4 linked regions of the Schizosaccharomyces pombe genome follow. The protein of the gene in region 1 purifies or fractionates together with the protein of each later gene. This does not show direct contact. Each region holds a gene or a part of one and is shown on either strand. Other genes may lie near its edges.

Evidence for each region.
Region 2: the proteins of dss1 (region 1) and mts4 purify together in Schizosaccharomyces pombe (affinity purification with western blotting, with the first as the bait; 4 studies listed by BioGRID). This does not show direct contact.
Region 3: the proteins of dss1 (region 1) and rpn8 purify together in Schizosaccharomyces pombe (affinity purification with mass spectrometry, with the first as the bait; 2 studies listed by BioGRID). This does not show direct contact.
Region 4: the proteins of dss1 (region 1) and rpn3 purify together in Schizosaccharomyces pombe (affinity purification with mass spectrometry; 3 studies listed by BioGRID, with this or other methods). This does not show direct contact.

The regions. Positions count from the first base shown.
Region 1 is NC_003424.3:5,380,960-5,384,405, forward strand, and holds dss1 (proteasome receptor/ubiquitin ligase adaptor Dss1), read left to right. Parts: upstream 1-2,107; 5' UTR 2,108-2,133; coding exon 2,134-2,164; intron 2,165-2,270; coding exon 2,271-2,312; intron 2,313-2,352; coding exon 2,353-2,495; 3' UTR 2,496-2,852; downstream 2,853-3,446. Other genes in the region: CHD family chromatin remodeller Hrp3, read left to right, coding at 1-1,691; Maf-like protein Ifs1, read right to left, coding at 2,996-3,124, 3,248-3,446. UniProt on the Schizosaccharomyces pombe protein: Versatile protein that might stabilize multiple protein complexes involved in diverse pathways. Subunit of the 26S proteasome which plays a role in ubiquitin-dependent proteolysis.
Region 2 is NC_003423.3:2,850,519-2,856,537, forward strand, and holds mts4 (19S proteasome regulatory subunit Rpn1/Mts4), read right to left. Parts: upstream 3,585-6,019; 5' UTR 3,535-3,584; coding exon 3,397-3,534; exon of another isoform or gene 3,350-3,396; coding exon 812-3,349; 3' UTR 603-811; downstream 1-602. Other genes in the region: morphogenesis protein Mor2, read right to left, coding at 4,132-6,019. UniProt on the Schizosaccharomyces pombe protein: Acts as a regulatory subunit of the 26 proteasome which is involved in the ATP-dependent degradation of ubiquitinated proteins.
Region 3 is NC_003421.2:388,866-393,002, forward strand, and holds rpn8 (proteasome regulatory subunit Rpn8), read left to right. Parts: upstream 1-1,828; 5' UTR 1,829-1,881; coding exon 1,882-1,932; exon of another isoform or gene 1,933-1,976; coding exon 1,977-2,900; 3' UTR 2,901-3,227; downstream 3,228-4,137. Other genes in the region: ggc1 (guanine nucleotide transporter), read right to left, coding at 1-353, 453-547, 669-959; ctl1 (choline transmembrane transporter family protein), read right to left, coding at 3,458-3,569, 3,621-4,137. UniProt on the Schizosaccharomyces pombe protein: Acts as a regulatory subunit of the 26S proteasome which is involved in the ATP-dependent degradation of ubiquitinated proteins.
Region 4 is NC_003423.3:710,426-715,125, forward strand, and holds rpn3 (19S proteasome regulatory subunit Rpn3), read left to right. Parts: upstream 1-2,064; 5' UTR 2,065-2,086; coding exon 2,087-2,105; exon of another isoform or gene 2,106-2,151; coding exon 2,152-2,247; exon of another isoform or gene 2,248-2,291; coding exon 2,292-3,670; 3' UTR 3,671-3,727; downstream 3,728-4,700. Other genes in the region: UDP-glucose--glycoprotein glucosyltransferase Gpt1, read left to right, coding at 1-1,509. UniProt on the Schizosaccharomyces pombe protein: Acts as a regulatory subunit of the 26 proteasome which is involved in the ATP-dependent degradation of ubiquitinated proteins.

The sequences.
Region 1 (3,446 bases):
AACGTGCACGTCGTAAAATGATTCTTGAATATGCAATTATTTCATTAGGTGTTACAGACAAGCAAAAGAATTCCAAAAATGATAAATTTTCTGCTGAAGAGCTTAGCGCTATTTTGAAATTTGGAGCTTCTAATATGTTTAAAGCAGAGAATAATCAAAAGAAGCTTGAGGATATGAATTTAGATGAAATTTTGGAACATGCCGAAGATCATGATACTTCCAATGATGTGGGTGGAGCCAGCATGGGTGGTGAAGAGTTTTTGAAACAGTTCGAAGTTACAGACTATAAGGCAGATGTATCTTGGGATGATATTATACCCCTAACTGAACGTGAGAAGTTTGAAGAGGAAGACCGCTTAAGAGAAGAGGAAGAAGCGCTTAAGCAAGAAATTGAGCTTAGTAGTAGACGAGGTAATCGTCCTTATCCTAGCTCTGCGGTGGAATCCCCATCCTACTCTGGAACTTCTGAAAGGAAGAGCAAAAAGCAAATGCTTAAAGATGAGGTTTTACTGGAAAAGGAAATTCGGTTGCTTTATCGTGCTATGATTAGATATGGAAGCCTTGAGCATCGCTACAATGACATTGTTAAATATGCTGATCTTACTACGCAAGATGCTCACGTAATAAAAAAGATTGCAGCTGACTTAGTAACCGCTTCACGCAAGGCTGTATCAGCAGCCGAGAAGGACTTATCTAATGATCAGTCTAATAATAAGTCATCTCGTAAAGCGCTGCTCATTACATTTAAAGGTGTAAAAAATATAAATGCTGAAACATTGGTACAAAGGCTAAATGATCTTGATATTCTTTATGATGCTATGCCAACGTCAGGATATTCTAACTTCCAAATTCCAATGCACGTTAGATCTGTTCACGGCTGGTCCTGTCAGTGGGGACCCCGAGAAGATTCCATGTTGCTTTCTGGAATTTGTAAGCATGGATTTGGAGCTTGGTTAGAAATTCGAGATGATCCAGAACTCAAAATGAAAGACAAGATCTTTTTAGAAGACACAAAACAAACAGACAACTCTGTCCCCAAAGATAAAGAAAATAAAGAGAAAAAGGTACCTTCAGCTGTGCATTTGGTTCGTCGAGGTGAATACCTACTTAGTGCTTTACGTGAGCATCACCAAAATTTTGGCATAAAATCAAGCCCCGCTATTAGTACTAATGGAAAAACTCAACCTAAGAAGCAGACGGCTAATCGCAGACAAAGTGGCAAGCCTAACGTTAAATCTGCGCAAAAAATAGAGAGTGCAACTAGGACACCATCGCCTGCAATTTCAGAATCTCGTAAGAAACCTTCTTCTAAAGACACGAAGATTGAAACACCTAGTAGGGAACAGTCTCGCAGCCAGACAGCTTCACCCGTCAAATCTGAAAAAGACGATGGTAATGTAAGTCTAAATGCTGAACAAAAGGCACGCTGCAAAGAACTGATGTATCCAGTCCGTAAGCATATGAAAAGACTTCGGAAAGATTCTAGTGGGCTTGGACGCGCGGAGTTGGTGAAGTTACTTACTGAGTGTTTGACAACGATTGGAAAGCATATTGAAAAAACTGTCAATGATACACCCTCCGAAGAAAAAGCTACTGTTAGGAAGAATTTATGGATGTTTGCATGTTACTTTTGGCCGAAGGAGGAGGTTAAATATACCAGCTTGATCAGCATGTATGAAAAGATGAAGTAGATTTTAGCCTGTCATACAAAAGCCAATTTGTTTCTTCATTTTTCATCCGGAATATTTTAGGTTTGAAGCTCGAATATGTTTATCTTTTACAGTCTTCAATTTTGATTGCTACATTTCAAAGATCACTAAATTCTAGTCTAAAAATCGTTTCTTATTGTACCTTTAATTATAATGTTAATAAACCCTGCATTTCAAATCTTGACTTTAGGAAATCCTCCGGTATTCAGAACATAGAGTCAGCATAGATAAGAATAATCCAGTAATACAATTTGTTTTTAATTGAAATATCAATGGCAAACTGCTATTTATTAGTCTGCAACTTTATGCAGTTTGTAAATATAATAGTGTAACTCAGTAGACATCGTTACCAGTGAAAAGTTCATTCAAACATCACAGTACGGCAGGGTTCACCTTTCACACCAAATCACGTTTATAAATTAGAATGTCTCGTGCGGCCTTACCAAGCTTAGAAAGTACGTTACAAATTATTTAGAGTGGCTTTCGAGTACTATTTATTCGATATGCTAATGTCTATGATTTTTTCGTTGGCCTAAAGACGTTTACTAACATAATGCTTAGACCTTGAGGATGATGATGAGTTTGAAGATTTCGCAACAGAAAGTAAGTACTTTTAAAGAAATAATTATTTAACATCAAAAAGATTGGCCTATGAAAGATACAGAGCTTGATACTGGAGATGATACGCTATGGGAAAACAATTGGGACGATGAGGACATTGGAGACGATGATTTTTCTGTTCAATTACAAGCAGAGTTAAAAAAGAAGGGTGTTGCCGCCAATTAAGATATTGCTTCTGCCAGAGTGTATATCTCCGAAACTGCCTTCATCCCTCAGTATAATTTTAATGCATTAACAAAACGATCGAATACAGGTTCTTTCATGACTCTAAGGTTTTGCTGGTTCTGTAAATACGGTGCAGATAGATATTCTTGTGTTGAAGATTTTTACGTTTAAAGAACTTCAACTTGTCCATATCTGTAAATTAGGTCTATGATACTTATATACGCCTGAATTGATTATATTCTAACAATTACCGGCGAAACGGTACTGCCTGTATATGCGAAATGAAGATAAGCTAGAAAATGTAAAACCTATTTGCATTACTATAGACAATAGCAACCCATGATTGTTCAAATGATGATCATTTCAAATGGTCAAAAGAAGAGACGCGTAGTTAATATGTAAAGGAATTTAAACAAAAACATTGAAGTGTATGAGGCAAAGATGAAGGTGCCTGGGAAAATGAAACGCAATTGTCATGAACTTAATTTCTTAGAAGATTCTTAATCGTAATTATCAGCATCTCCTTGTTCTAAGGCTTCTTCCATCAACTTGAAAGTAGCGCGGATAGGCAAGCCTACAACATTGGAAAAGTCACCTATGATAGACTCAATCAATAAGGCGCCGTGACCCTAAACTTAGTCAGCAAAGTCATGCGTAAAAATTTAAAAAAAACAAAAAATGCTATAATTCATTATTTGAAAGCACGCACGGTTCAGGCACTTCCATCACCCTAAAAACAGCCAAAAACATACCTGTATAGCATAGCCTCCGGCTTTATCTGAACCTTCGCCACAACGAACATAAGCTTCGAGAAATTCGTCAGTTATGGAAGGGTCAAACTTCACCTGAGTTTCTTCAAGGTGTGTTTTCATAACATAACCTGGATGAATAGGCACTTCCATAGGCACAATAACACTGACAGCAGTAAATACTTTATGGGGTGTTTTAGAA
Region 2 (6,019 bases), on another chromosome or scaffold:
CTTACAAAATGCAATTCGGTAGACAAAATGACGGGTGAGTGATCCCATTGAAAATAAATTGTTCAATCAACACATAATAGTCCCCTAATAGTCATATATGACATTTCTATCAATTCAAATACGAGCGTCATTCCATTTTTTCACATAACGAAATGAATGCACAACTTACCTGTGGAAATGAATTAACGATGAGCAGACTTTGGGACTGCATATGATGAAACATAATAACAATTCAAGATAATATTTGAAATTAAATAAAGCTATTCACCGTTATTCCCTAAATGCGAAGTATCTAATGTGCAGTTTTACCTTTAATGTAATGGTTAGGTATTGAAACAGTAGTAGAAACGTGACATAAGGGATGCGTCGCAAAGCAGTCAACTCCTTTGTCGGATTATCAGAAGATGATTAAAATTCATTCTTTGATAATTGCATTAAGCTCCAACGCAGGTCTAAATTTTTTTTACTAAGAAATGGTAGCTCCTTAGTTCGGGCAATTTTTATCCAACAAGACGTTTCTGCAGTGGACGTTCTATTACCTTTTGGTAACGCGACAAATACAAAAAAAAAGAAACAGAAATTATAATCCTAATTACAAATTTGCAATCATGTATATATACTTTCCGCTACTTCAATTTAGAACAATACTAGAACATTTCTAATCTAAAAAATACGAATTTAACATAATCGAAATAGAAAAATAAATGTATCGGGCGCTGAATTTCAACAATCCAGTTTGTTTTATTAATAGCAAAGAACTGGAAATCAAGCATTAGTACATAAAAATTGTAGTCATTTAACTTCAAGTCATTTAAGCGGTCATTTCAATGTCCTCCGTATTTTTTTTTAAAATAACAATACCTTCCAACGAAGTCAAAGGTGTATATGCTTCCGTCGCTAGTTCAGCTCGCTCATTGTGATGCAACAAAACTGGTGTAGTATGTGTGACCCAACCCGTAATGACCTTGGGACGACCAGCTTGACCGACCACATCTACTGCTTGACCAACTCGAACGCTTACTGGTAAATATTGACCGTCCTCACCAAGGGTAATGAGCATTCGGGGTCGTATTGCTAACGTAATAGCATAAAGCAACCAATGCGAGGTATCAAGGACAAAGGTATTTGCATCTAGCATAGCTAATACAACAGTCATAAGACCAGCAAAAGCAGTTTGACCAAGAATCTGCCGTTCTGTATGATAAGGGTTAAGCGTCATTGTTCCTTTTCCTAAGTAAAGTAAACCTTGAGCGATACGAACCATGAATAGAGCGTTGGATTCTTTGTGATAATAACTGGCTAGTTGGCGGAGTAATTGAGCCAAACGCGCATTACTAGTACCAGCACCAACAAGACCCATTGCAAAGATTGCGTTGTAAGCAACATCCAAATCATTATCGTGACTATAGCGTGAAAGCGTGTCAAATATACGCATTTGAGGATTGGAAGCGGAAAGCAATCCTAATGCAAGTGGTATAGCTTTTCGAATAGAGGGTTCGCCATAATGCATCATGTGATCGAAATGTCTCAAAACCATTTCTGCTCCAATATCTTCACCCATAGCTATAGTAGCAACACCAAGTGCTGCAAATGTCTGGATAGTAGTCTCACTCTCCTTAGCATCATCACTGGGAGGTTCACTACAGATATGAAGCAATTTTTGGATGTGAAGAACGTTGCCAGTTCCAGCATACGAGCAAATATCCACCAAAATTTCAGCTTGTCGTGCAATTTTACCCTCAATAGCTTTCAGTGTTTCGACTGTAGCATCCGCAAGGTCTTGTTTACCATTAAAAAGAAGGGCAAGGCCAAGAGCCATAAAACGGCCCCATTGATCATTTTGGGCAGACTCTTCACGCTCCATTAGAGTTTGTAAAATTGTGCTAGCTACATCGCCGTTGCAAGTACCAACAAAAATAAGACCTAAAGATAATGCGGCTAAGCAGGATAATTGCATAGGGCAATCGGTATCCGTAACAATTGGAGATAACATGTCGAGTAAATCTTCGCGATTAGCTCCACTGTATGCAAGTCCTAAACCTAAAATCGCTGATGCACGAAGCTTTACGGAGCCAGTTTCAAGGTATTCAGAAAGAATTGCCATAGCTGGATCAGCTTCATTTCTTACTGCAACATTTGTAACACCAATTCCCAACAATGCACCAGCCTTGGTATTCTCCTCAGAAGAGTATAAATACTTATCCAACAAAGACAATCCCATGTCAACATTCCATAATTGTAATAGGCCAATAGAAGCTGTAGCACTTATTAAACCAGATTCTTTATTTTTATAAATCCAAGACGTTTTTTCGTCATCGACCAAAATTAATCTGTCGTTACTGTATCCGGCATTGACAAGGGCATTGACAAAAGTGTTAGCTAAATTTTGTTTGGCGGAATACACTCCTGATGCACCCAATCCAGTCCTAGCCACTTCTAAATGTGTTTTAAAGATATCTTCCGGAACTTTAGGATCCATAAGGTTCAACTCCTTTCCTAGATAATGAAAGTGATCAGATAAATGAGTGTTATTTAAAGCATCGTTTAACTCCTCGTCTCCCATATCCATAGGTATTTGCTGACGAGCAAGCATGTAAGACATTTGCTTTTTCAACAAGGGATCCGTAGCAGCTTCACAGTCTTCTTTTATCAAAGACATATCATCAAGGCGGATAGCAACGTTAAGTGCTTGTGTAAGCTGGTCAAACTTCCGATAAATAGCATGCGCTGTTCTTAACATGGCGACATCTTCAGGAAATGGCAAAAGATTAACGCAACTGGTAATATAAAGACAAACGCGAGAAGCATTATCAAGTTCTACGAAGGGTACAACTTTTTCAATAGCACCCAATTCTTGTAATAAATCAATAGCATCAGCCTCAGCATTATGAGTAAGGAAGAATGGAACAATGGTCAATGCAAGTTCCATAAGATCGTCGGTTGGCGCTTCCTCTTCCTGGCGACTGGCAAACTCTTCTTCTATTTCGGAAGCCAAATGGCGAACATACTCATGACCCCATAAAGAAGGATCAGTGGTAACGCCCTGAAGACGATATTTTAATGATTCATGTTTGCTTGTATTACTATAGGACATTCCTAATACTGAAAGGATATCAGCAAGTTGAGTCTTCTGAGGGCTTTGCGGCCAGGAATCATAGATTTTAACGAGAGTAAAATAATGTGGTCTAAGAAACTTCAAAGGCTTTGGAACGGCCGTCATAGAGGAGGTAGAAGTACGAATTATTTCTTTAAGCTGAGTGAGACTGGAACCCACCAACTCAGGGGTGGCATCTTGAACAGCTTGAACTAATAATTCCAAATCATTTTTTAATTGTAAATCTTCTTCAGACTATTTGGTTAGTTTTCATTTTGAAAAATAATAGGGCTTTAACTTACTAAATCCTCTAATTCATCCCTTTCTTTGGTATTGTTCGTTGAGTTTCTGTCATTAGTTTCTGAAGTCTTTGTCCCTTTTTTGTCATTTAATGCATCATTACCACTCGGGGACTTCGAACTAATGTCTTTAGAACTCATTTTCTAGATTCCTAAGATTTTCTGAAACTGAGTAGTAATGTGTTGTCGTTGAAACTACTCTCACCCTAGTCAGAACCAGTATACCGATTGTTTACGTATTTGATTATTTATCACGTTAATTAGATTTAACAACACGCTATGCTTTCTTTATGGATCAGTACAAATGAAAAAATAATCTATTATTTAAGTTCGTCAATGTATTACCATTATTACACGATGCTTGACATTATTATCTCATGCCTCTTTTCTTATAAGAATTGTTGTAAAATAACTCGTTATTGATTGACTCTTTATGTTTTCATTTGTTTAAATACGGACATATGAAACCGATTTATATCACTACACCTAATTACCATAGTTATAGCTTGATTTTTAATAACATGACACGCTCTAAGATTTTGAATTCTAAAATTAAAGGCTGTAATGGTCAAAGAATTTTCGAGTTTAAATTAACAAAAAAATGCAAATGATAAAATAATGAAAACAAACGAATAGTTTTATATAGTACATCCATAAACGTTGCCGACTAATTTTCCATCTTACACACATGAACACCATAAAAGCTTGTATAAGTATACTAAACCAGTATAGGCAAATTCAATGCCAACCGCGGGATCGAGTTGTATCAGTAAAAGATTCATTGCTTTCACTTCCTTGAAACATTGTACGTAAATGATAATAATTTTCATGAGTTTCATGGTCTTCCACTGAATCTTCATTAATCATAGAAACAGATTGATCTAACATGGAATTCCAATTTTTATTTTGTTTCAATTCTGCTGCACCTCGTATTTCGTCCAAAGATAAACGATGTTCCGCCGAATTACCAAGTGCCTTTAAAGAAGGATAATAAGATTCAGCATCCATAAAGTAATGAGGTTTTAATTTAGAGATAAAAGACGACTTTCTTACTCTCACCGGCGGCATGTCCATCGGCAATTTTGCTGATGCATCAATTTCTTCGTTCGGTGAATAATCTCTGAAGGATTCTGTTTCATAAGCCATAAGACCTTGTTTCTGCCGTCTAAGGCTACCTGAAAGAATCGTAGCTATCCGATCGTCATAATCTTCCGATGTAATATCTAATTTTGGATCAACGGCGACATCAGGCTGAATTAACTCTTCATCCCTATCTTCAGCGAAGAAGACATCGAGGCTATGAAGAGTTGTAACTAGCTCTCCTAGTGAATTTTCGTCAAGCGAACCATGACTGTCAGTAGGAACGTGTCGCGGATAATTGGATACTTCATCAGCATGAAATCTAACCTCTGGCGTACTCACAGAAGCCTCGGTAGTGGAACAGCTATAAAATACGGCATGTACGTTGCTTTTAGTTATAGCAGCTGCATATTCAGAGTTTGGTTCATACCATCCATCCTCGTCAGGTATTTCAAAAAATCCAGCCAGACGATCATCTGAATTTTTTAATTTAGGGTCAACCATTAATAACTTTAAGGTTTGCATATCTGTGGGAGCAGATACATGAAGCACTGAGTCGGTTAGCAAAGACAACGCTTCCATTGCATAACCAGTAGGTAAGAGTCGAAGAAGCGGTGAAACAATACCTAATCCATGTTCGGAATATATAGGTTTTTGGAAATCAATTAATGGAAAGAGTTCTTTTAACACATCTAACGTAGACTTTCTAAACCAAGTCAAATTATTTGATAGAAACATCGTAAGAGTACTAACAATTTCTAGCTCGTAATCTTCAAAATAATAGGAGTATAGGTATGAAACCGTATGTTTTAAAAAATCCTTAATTGACCTGAATTTACGTTTGAGATATGTGTCAAGAAGCTCAATCAATGCATCATCGTTAAATTGTGAAGCAAGAGTAGCTAATTTATGACAGAAAACACTTAAATCAAAAGTAATAGGATCTGAATGCTCGTATGTATATACCATCGCTGGTAATGACACCAACAAGCAGGATAGTATCCTCAAATAACCAACGCCAACCAAATCATTATCCTTGAAATCCATCAGCAAAAGGAAAAAATTCATGGTAATTTCAAAAGAATTAGTTGAACGGAAACCTTTTAATATTAAAATCTGAAGACCTTGGTAATCTCCAACCCAGTTTTGGGGAAATGTCTCCATAATTTGTTGGGTAGCAGAGTCCGTCTCCTCCACTCTCAGAAAGTAAGCATATGCAATTTTCACAGATTCAATAAATTCATCCTCATGGATTGTAGTCAAACACGCAATGGCTGTCCATAATATTTGAGAATAACTTAGTAAATCATCGGAGTTCATAACTAAAACATAGGAATTAAAAGTTCGCAATATTTCAACGGAATAATCACGTAAATAGCTCGTTTCATCTGATATTGTACCAACTAGACGAGAAATAATCTCAAGAAGCATTCGTGCATCAAAATCTGGAAGCAAAGAACGAAACAACTGGAATGAATTACAAGCCAAACGTCGAGAAGGACAAGTCGTAGCCCACGATAAAGCAACCTCACCCCATATTTGTTTA
Region 3 (4,137 bases), on another chromosome or scaffold:
GGTTATCAAAATTCTTATTTTGAATACGAGTTTTAATAACATCGAGAGGGGCAGAGACAATCAAACTAGCAGAAGCACCAGCGATTGAGGTGAAAAAATTTTGAAAAAAAGTGGCTTGAGAGTAATCCTTTAGTTTAAATATGTACTCCTTAGCAAAAGCGTTACCACCAAAGAGTGCAAAAGAACCTGGGGCATTGCGGGCGGCAGTCCATCCCCATCCACGATACAACGCAAATTTCTCATCAGCGAGAATTCTGAAAACACCGCGACCTTTAAAAGCTGCAGGATTGGTTTGGCGCTTAATTTTCAGGACGTCTAAGGGAAGGAGGAAGATCTCTCCAATTCCAACGATACTGAAAAGTTAGTAAGCTATACACATCTTGAATTCCCTTTTCAACAATCTTAAACATAAGCTTTCAGCTTAGTTAAACAAATATTCGACAGATACATACCTTCCAGCAGTAGCATGCATAATGGCTTTTCCAGATCCCTTTCCAAAAGTTTTATCAAAAGTATGTCTATAATTTTCATTCAAAAAGTCTTTTACCTGAACATGTTAGTAAAGATGAACGAGTATACTGAAGCCAACTGCGATACATTAATTCCGCCATCAAGGCTTGGAAAAAACGTACGCTTTAAACTACCAGTATAAGTACTCTACAACATACAATTGGTTGACCGCTATATTTATAAATACGTTGTACAATTTTGTAGCAAGCAGCATAGCCCAAACCAGGAAAAAGAGAGGTAGCCTTTTGGAGTAGAGGAGCAGAGGCAGCATCTCTGAAAATTACAGTGTTAAGTTGAGTTAAAGAAGTAATTTTTCCATGATTTGACATCAAACGCTTGGAAATTGTATCAACAGGATGAAAGAGTGAAAGTTCGAGAATTCCGGCAGATGCTGATCCCACAATTCGAGCGGTTTGCGACTCTTTGTTTTTCAACTGAACAGGAGCCATCTTTCTCTATCTATTTAAAAATTTAATTAATAACCAAAAAGTTTCGTTGTGTTGAAAAAGAAAAGTTAAAGGATTTTAGTGTAGTGAACTTTTATTGAAATTTTTTTCATTTTTTGATAAGAACTGATAGCCTTCGTTTTAGAGATAAGATGAAATATCGTTGTTCTCAAATAGTGATCTATGTTTTTCTGTTAATATTTTTAAACGTTTGAAATAATTCCAAAAACACAAATCCTATTAATGTAAGTTTGCAAAAAATCTCATGCATATGGCTTTGATGAAACGTGTGGACATACAAAATATCTGAATTCTAACTGTTTCAATTGCTTCAGACGAAAACTTTTAAGAACGTTCTTACTGAAAGTTTCTTTTACTTGTTTCATCGTAAATATAGTCATCGAACAGATATTTAATGAACTTTTGGAATGCGTCTCACGTGTATTTCGGTTTGATTAAGTAGTTAAAAGTGATATACTATGCTTCAAATCGAAATACCAGCATGTAATTTGATATGCAAAGTATTTCTTTAAAAAAAGAGCAGATGGTTTCAAGATATGTCTTCAATATTTAATGTCCATGTCTTTTCAGAATTTATTTGAGTAAATTACGTGCAATTACACGTTTAACATGATTTAAATGTATAGCTCTTCAATCCTTTCTACATATGAGAGGGAGTGTAATATAATTGCCATTTAGTAGCCTAATGGAATGATCATTGTTTAAAGCATTGTTATATTACAGCGCTTAATAGGTAGTTGGGCATTTGAAAGTATCGTAATATTTCTGTAATGAACTATGTCTTAACTTGCGGTAAGTAGGAAACCGCTGCAGCATGTGATGAGAGGTTACACGCTTTCAACCTTTCGTTTGCCATACACAGTTGAAGTTGTGAGAGACAAATTTTTAATATAAACCGGTTATAATGCCTCCTGCAGTGAGCTCTGAAACCTCTACAATCGTCCCACAGCAAGTTGTAAGTAGAAAATTTGAGAAACTTTTTTATTAACCATTGGTTAGATTGTGCATCCATTAGTACTTCTGTCAGCAGTAGATTCTTATAATCGATCTGCCAAGGGAACCAAAAGACGGGTCGTTGGTATTCTATTGGGTCAAAATAATGGCGACGTTGTAAACGTGGCCAATAGTTATGCTATACCATTTGAGGAAGATGAAAAGAATGCATCGGTTTGGTTTTTGGACCATAATTTTATGGAATCAATGAATGAAATGTTTAAAAAAATCAATGCAAATGAAAAATTAGTTGGCTGGTATCATACTGGACCACAACTCCGACCCTCTGATTTGGAAATCAACAACTTACTTAAAAAATACATACCCAATCCCGTTCTTGTCATTATCGATGTAAAGCCCAAATCAGTGGGTCTTCCGACTAATGCCTACTTTGCCATTGATGAAATTGAAGACGACGGCTCTAAGTCCAGCAGAACTTTTGTTCATCTACCCTCCAGTATAGAGGCAGAGGAAGCAGAGGAAATTGGTGTTGAACACTTGTTACGTGATACTCGTGATGCATCCGTTGGTACTTTAGCGACAAGAGTTACCCAGCAGGCACAATCTTTACAAGGCCTTGGGCAGCGTCTCACTGAAATCGCAGATTACTTAAGGAAAGTCGTGGATGGGCAACTACCTATAAATCATGCTATCCTTGCCGAGCTTCAGAGTGTGTTTAATCTTTTGCCTAACATTTTTAGCGGTCCTGTGGTTTCAGAACAGGCCTTGGAATCAGAGGCACAACGTGCTTTCAATGTGAATTCCAATGATCAGTTGATGTCCATTTATATTTCCAGCATCGTGAGGGCCGTGATTGCTCTTCATGATCTTTTGGATTCTTTGGCTGCTAGTAAAGCTATGGAACAGCAGGACATAAAGCCAACTGTTCAAAATGGAGAAGTTTCGGCTAATGCCGAACAAAAGGCTTAATCACTGTATTCATACTATCCATGTCTGGCTTCTATCATTTGTGGACTCCTCTTTCTGAGATTTAACGACTTTATCTAACGTAGGTTTTTTATTTCAATGTCTAAGTATCATAGAGTTTTTATTTATATCTTGTCTTTTCGCAGACAGTTTTGCAGATATTTGTAACCCTCTTAACTTGTAAAAGTTACACGTCGGGTTCGGGTTTATTTGCTTGTATGTTAAAAATGATATGTCTACGTTTGTTAAATTGTATTTACGAAGGATAAAAGTGTAATTTTAAGTTAGTACGAAGAAATTGCATACAAAATATCATATTTTAATTTACAGTGATATGATGGATAGCTTGAGAAAAAACTTTTCATGAAAAGAAATCCTAGCAAACGCCAAGGTGTCAATGTTAAAAAGTAGGCTGACATTATATTAATGAAGTAAAAGGGAATAGGGATACGCGTACAGGTGACCAGCATCTCTTTCTTTGAGCTCTTTGATGAAAGTAGGTTCTAAGGAAGTTAAAAGAAACAGAAAAACAGCAAAAGAAGTAATTCGCATTTTTGGTTTTAATATCCATTTGATTCAAAAAGCTGCCATGCCTCGAAACAGTGAGAACCATTAGGATCTCCTTGGCAGCTAGAAATATCGATAATAGAGCATATAAGTAACGCATCCACACTGTGAAAAAGTTAGTATTTTACGCGAGGATAACTAAATATAATTACTCACATCATGCTGAGGCCGCCCTCTATGGCGCCAATGATAAGCCAAGCAAGGAATCCGCCTAAAAGTCCTACAATGTAGCCATAAAAGACACCATTTTCATGAATGGAATAATTCCACGAAGTAACGCCAACTCCTATAGCGAGGAGGGAACGAGCGGCTAGCAAAGTGTATTTAGAAAAATAGTAGGAACGTCGGCGTAATCCTACTCGGTTCAATTGTTCGATTTGATACAAAGCCTTGGACGCATTCATGTACGGGACTGAGTAAATTGATGCGTATGCTAGGGTAAGAGGAGATGTGACATACGAAGCAGACGTCTTTGAAAACATATAATATACAATACGCGAAACGTGTCTTAGCCATGTGGGTAGGAAATGCAATGGTACTTTGGTGATAACAACTAAAAAGGAAGAAAAGGCACATAAACCATACTGATTGGAAACAACGTGATAGAAAAAGTGAGAAACTAAATTGGTTTTGGTAGCCGAAGACTTAGTATCACGATAAAAAAACCATTGAG
Region 4 (4,700 bases), on another chromosome or scaffold:
ATTTCTGCGGAGCCAGAGTTTGATGCGCTTGGCCATTTAGAGGAGTCTTACGTAGAATTTGACAACTTACCGGCTGATACACTGCTTACAATGGACATTGAAGCTAGAGACGCATGGACAGTTATGCAAAAAGATGTGGACATTGATCTTTTCAACATAAAATTAGAGCACACTTCTGAAGCAGAGGCTTTGGACTCACATACAGCAATCTATGAACTTAAAAACATTTTGGTACAAGGTTACTCTCAAGAAGAATTCAGGAAAAGCCCACCGAGGGGTATGCAATTAAAGCTAGGCAACCTTACTAATTCCCATGTGACTGATACAATTGTATTATCAAATTTAGGATATTTTCAATTGAAGGCGAACCCAGGCGTATGGACTTTGGAACCTATGGATGGGCGGTCTTCTCAGTTTTATGAAATACTGTCGCTAAATAAGAAAAATTCCTATAAAGACCCTCAAGTAATTGTTGACAGTTTTGAAGGTGTCACCTTAAATCCGGTTATGCGACGTAAACCTGGTTTTGAGTCTGCCGACATTATGGATGAAGACCTTAGCTCCCATAAATTTTTCGATAAAATAAAAAAGTCTCTCAGCTTCTTTAATTTCAAACGTAAAGAAGCATCTATAAATATTTTTTCTGTTGCCAGCGGACACTTGTATGAAAGATTCTTATACATCATGACTAAGAGTGTAATTGAGCATACGGATAAAAAAGTCAAGTTCTGGTTTATTGAGAACTTTTTGTCCCCTTCTTTTAAAAGCTCTATTCCGGCCATTGCCAAAAAGTATAATTTCGAGTATGAGTATATTACTTACAATTGGCCACACTGGCTGAGAAAACAAGAAGAAAAGCAACGTGAGATATGGGGATACAAAATATTGTTCCTTGATGTTTTATTCCCTTTAGAATTGCATAAGGTTATCTATGTTGATGCCGATCAAATTGTGCGTGCTGACTTGCAGGAATTGATGGATATGGATTTACATGGTGCTCCATATGGGTATACACCCATGTGTGATTCTCGCGAAGAGATGGAAGGTTTTAGATTCTGGAAAAAAGGATACTGGAAAAAATTCTTACGTGGATTAAAATATCACATTAGTGCATTATATGTTGTAGACTTAGATCGTTTCAGGAAGATGGGTGCGGGTGATTTACTTCGCAGACAATACCAACTTTTGTCTGCCGATCCTAACTCCCTGTCTAATTTAGATCAAGATTTGCCAAATCACCTTCAACACCTTATTCCTATATACTCTCTTCCGCAAGATTGGCTTTGGTGTGAGACATGGTGCAGTGATGAAAGTTTGAAAACTGCCAAAACAATCGATTTATGTCAAAATCCTTTAACTAAAGAAAAGAAGCTGGATCGCGCACGTAGGCAAGTCTCTGAATGGACTTCATACGATAATGAGATAGCATCCGTATTGCAAACCGCCTCTAGTCAATCAGATAAAGAGTTTGAAGAAAAGGATAACAACTCATCTCCGGACGAACTTTGAAACATACTTTTCTTTTGCTTTCATATTATTTAATTCGTGATTGTACGCCTGAAATTTTATAATCGTTTTTCTAATTTACTTGCGAATTTGCATAAGTTAGAAGAGAAAAGAGTTAAAATCAAAATGTTTTAATGAATTGCTTGAATACTGAGAGTATTGGCTTTAGGGATTAAAAGGGGTCAAAATTAGTATATGTCGTCCGTTTGAAATGAGCTAGTCATGAGTTAATTTTTTCCTCCAATCTTGTTAGGACCATTTTGCTGGTGCATTCTACAAGTTGTATACAACGATTATGGTGCTAAGAAACAACTAATCGTGAGCAATGCTACGTTTATTGAATGTTTGTTGAAGACGCGTATTTTCATTTATTTAACTATTCGATACTATCTTCTACTTTGTTCAAACATTATTCGTCTATTATGCTGTAATAAATATTGCATTCAAAAGTCTTTACTAAATAGAACATTTAATATATTCGTGTTTATAATCATAGGGAGGAAGTATACAGCACAGTGAGTCGTAAGCTTAGGCATATGCCCTCCACTGAACGTAACCACTACCAAGTACCAGTATCAATATGATTGATGATCAGAGAGGTTTGTTATTGATGGGAAAGTTTTTGTATTTATTAACGTTAAAAAGATATGCAGGTTGATTCTGTAAACCAAGAAGAAAATGTTGATTCTGGTGAAACAAAACAGAACACTGTAACTGAAGTTCCAAGAACAGTTTTGCAAGGTGAGTTAATGCGTCAAAATTTATTTATTTCTAACAAGGATCAGATGTGGAAGCAAATATTGCTGCCTTAATGCAAGCCACCAAACAAAGAGATCCCAGACTTGTCTATCGATCATTAAGAACCACATCCAACATTTGCCATAGACTGAATGCGGATGTTTTAGGCCAGTTAATTAAGAAGTATTATTCTTTTGATAATTCTTTAAAAAATGAATTATTGGAACTTATTGATATGCCACAAAATGGTGATGATTCTTCCACTTCTATTACAAATGGAAATGGCAACACAATTTTTCCGGAAGTGGATATGTACTTACAACTGCTTCTTAGCATGACACTTTATTATAATGAAAAATATGAGGTAGGCGCTGAATATATTAAGAAGGTAATCGCCCGTTTGCAATCCTATGATCGACGAACCTTGGATCAAATTGCAGCCAAGTTATATTTCTATTACATACTATTCTTTGAAAAATGTAATAGGTCTGTAGAATGCAGGAACACTCTTTTGTCCGTTCATCGTACTGCATCTTTACGTCACGACTCTGAAACTCAAGCTATGGTTTTGACATTACTTCTTCGGAATTATATTCAGTTTAACCTATATGATCAAGCAGACCGTCTCGTTTCGAAAACATCCTTTCTTACGAATGCTAGTAATAACTTGGCAATTCGCTACCAATACTATTTGGGTCGAATTCGCGCCATTCAACTTGACTACACGACCGCTCATGAACATTTAGTTAGTGCTATACGTAAGGCTCCCAACACAGTATATGCCGTTCAATTTCTGGAAGCTGTTTACAAATTGCACATCGTCGTACAATTGCTTATGGGAGAAATTCCCGAACGCCGCATTTTCCGCCAAAAATCTCTCGAAAAAACTTTAGTGCCTTACTTACGTATTAGCCAGGCAGTTCGTATTGGTGACCTTTGTGCTTTCACTGACGCGCTTTCCAAGTATGAGGCTGAATTTCGCTTCGATGGATTGTATACTTTGATATGCCGCCTTCGCCATACCGTCATTAAGACTGGATTGAGGATGATCTCCTTATCTTATTCCCGTATTTCCCTTCGTGATGTTTGTATAAAGCTTGGTTTGGACAGTGAAGAGAGTGCCGAGTACATTGTTGCTAAGGGCATCCGTGATGGAGTTATTGATGCAAGTATCGATCATAGTAATGCCTTTATGGCTAGTAACGAAGCCATGGATATTTATTCCACCGAGCAGCCTCAACAAGCTTTTCATGAACGTATTCAGTTTTGTCTTGCCCTTCATAATGACAGCATAAAAAGTATGCGATATCCCATGGATGCTCACAAAAGTGAACTCGAAGGTGTGGAAGAGGCACGTAGGCGTATGGATAAAGAAATGGCTGAGGCAGATTTAGATGACGATGAGCCTGATTTGGGCGAATTTTAAAAAACTTATGGAAAGTTTATAGATCTTAAAATATACTTTCAAAGTTGTTCAGTTGTATGTTTCTTTAATGTCTATGAAAACTATATGTAGTTTACAGATTGAAATATTTAGTGAGTTTGCGAAGCTGTAACAGAAGGAAAGTTGTTGAAAAACAGTTTTCGATCGGTGCTACAACGCTACAAATGCGTTTGTTGTTTAAACTGAGACTTGGTCTTTGCACATTGTAATAAATGAGTAATACGCTAAAAACACAGGGGTTTGGAGAATGGTCGTGTGCTTTATTTTCAAATTTGTTGTTTTATATTTCGTATATAATACACGTATGCAAACACATTTATGGTTATGCTGTGAAGCAATACAGATTTGATCTTGGATTATGGTTCCAATCAAAGGTATACTTTAGTCTTTTTAATTATAAATGGCGAAATGGGCAAAAAATTTTTGTGCAAATTTATTTTTTGTTATGCATAACTAGAGCAAATAAAGCAATGCTATAAAATGGCTTCCGGCAGAAAATAATAACCACAGTGGATATAAGCTAGTTTTCTAACGTGACTTAAGTAACACTTTATAAAACCAAAGCTATACATTAGTCTCTCCCATTACCACTTTGTCAATTTTAGCTAAGTTAGTAGATATGATCAACACTATATATTTAAAGTGGAACGGCAAGCTCATTTTTTACGTTATAGTAATTTAACAATTTTGTCGATATTTTGAGCAATGGTGTATTCTGCTGTGGTCGCTACGGCGCATATCATCAAATATCGCCTGTCCGGTTTCTCTATTCGCTAAATACGGGAAGATACTGATATAGTCTATATTGTATTTCACAAGTAAAATAGTTTCTGAGTTAGCCATCATGTCGTCAGTTAAACTGATCCTCGTTCTTCAGTTCACTTACAAGCTCTTTTATTGATAAATCGTTATAATACCGCCCCCATAATATAATATCTGTAATTCTCTTTAATTTTGCCCTATTTGTAATACAATAGTATGCTGGATCCCGAAAAAATTTATCGTAACGTAG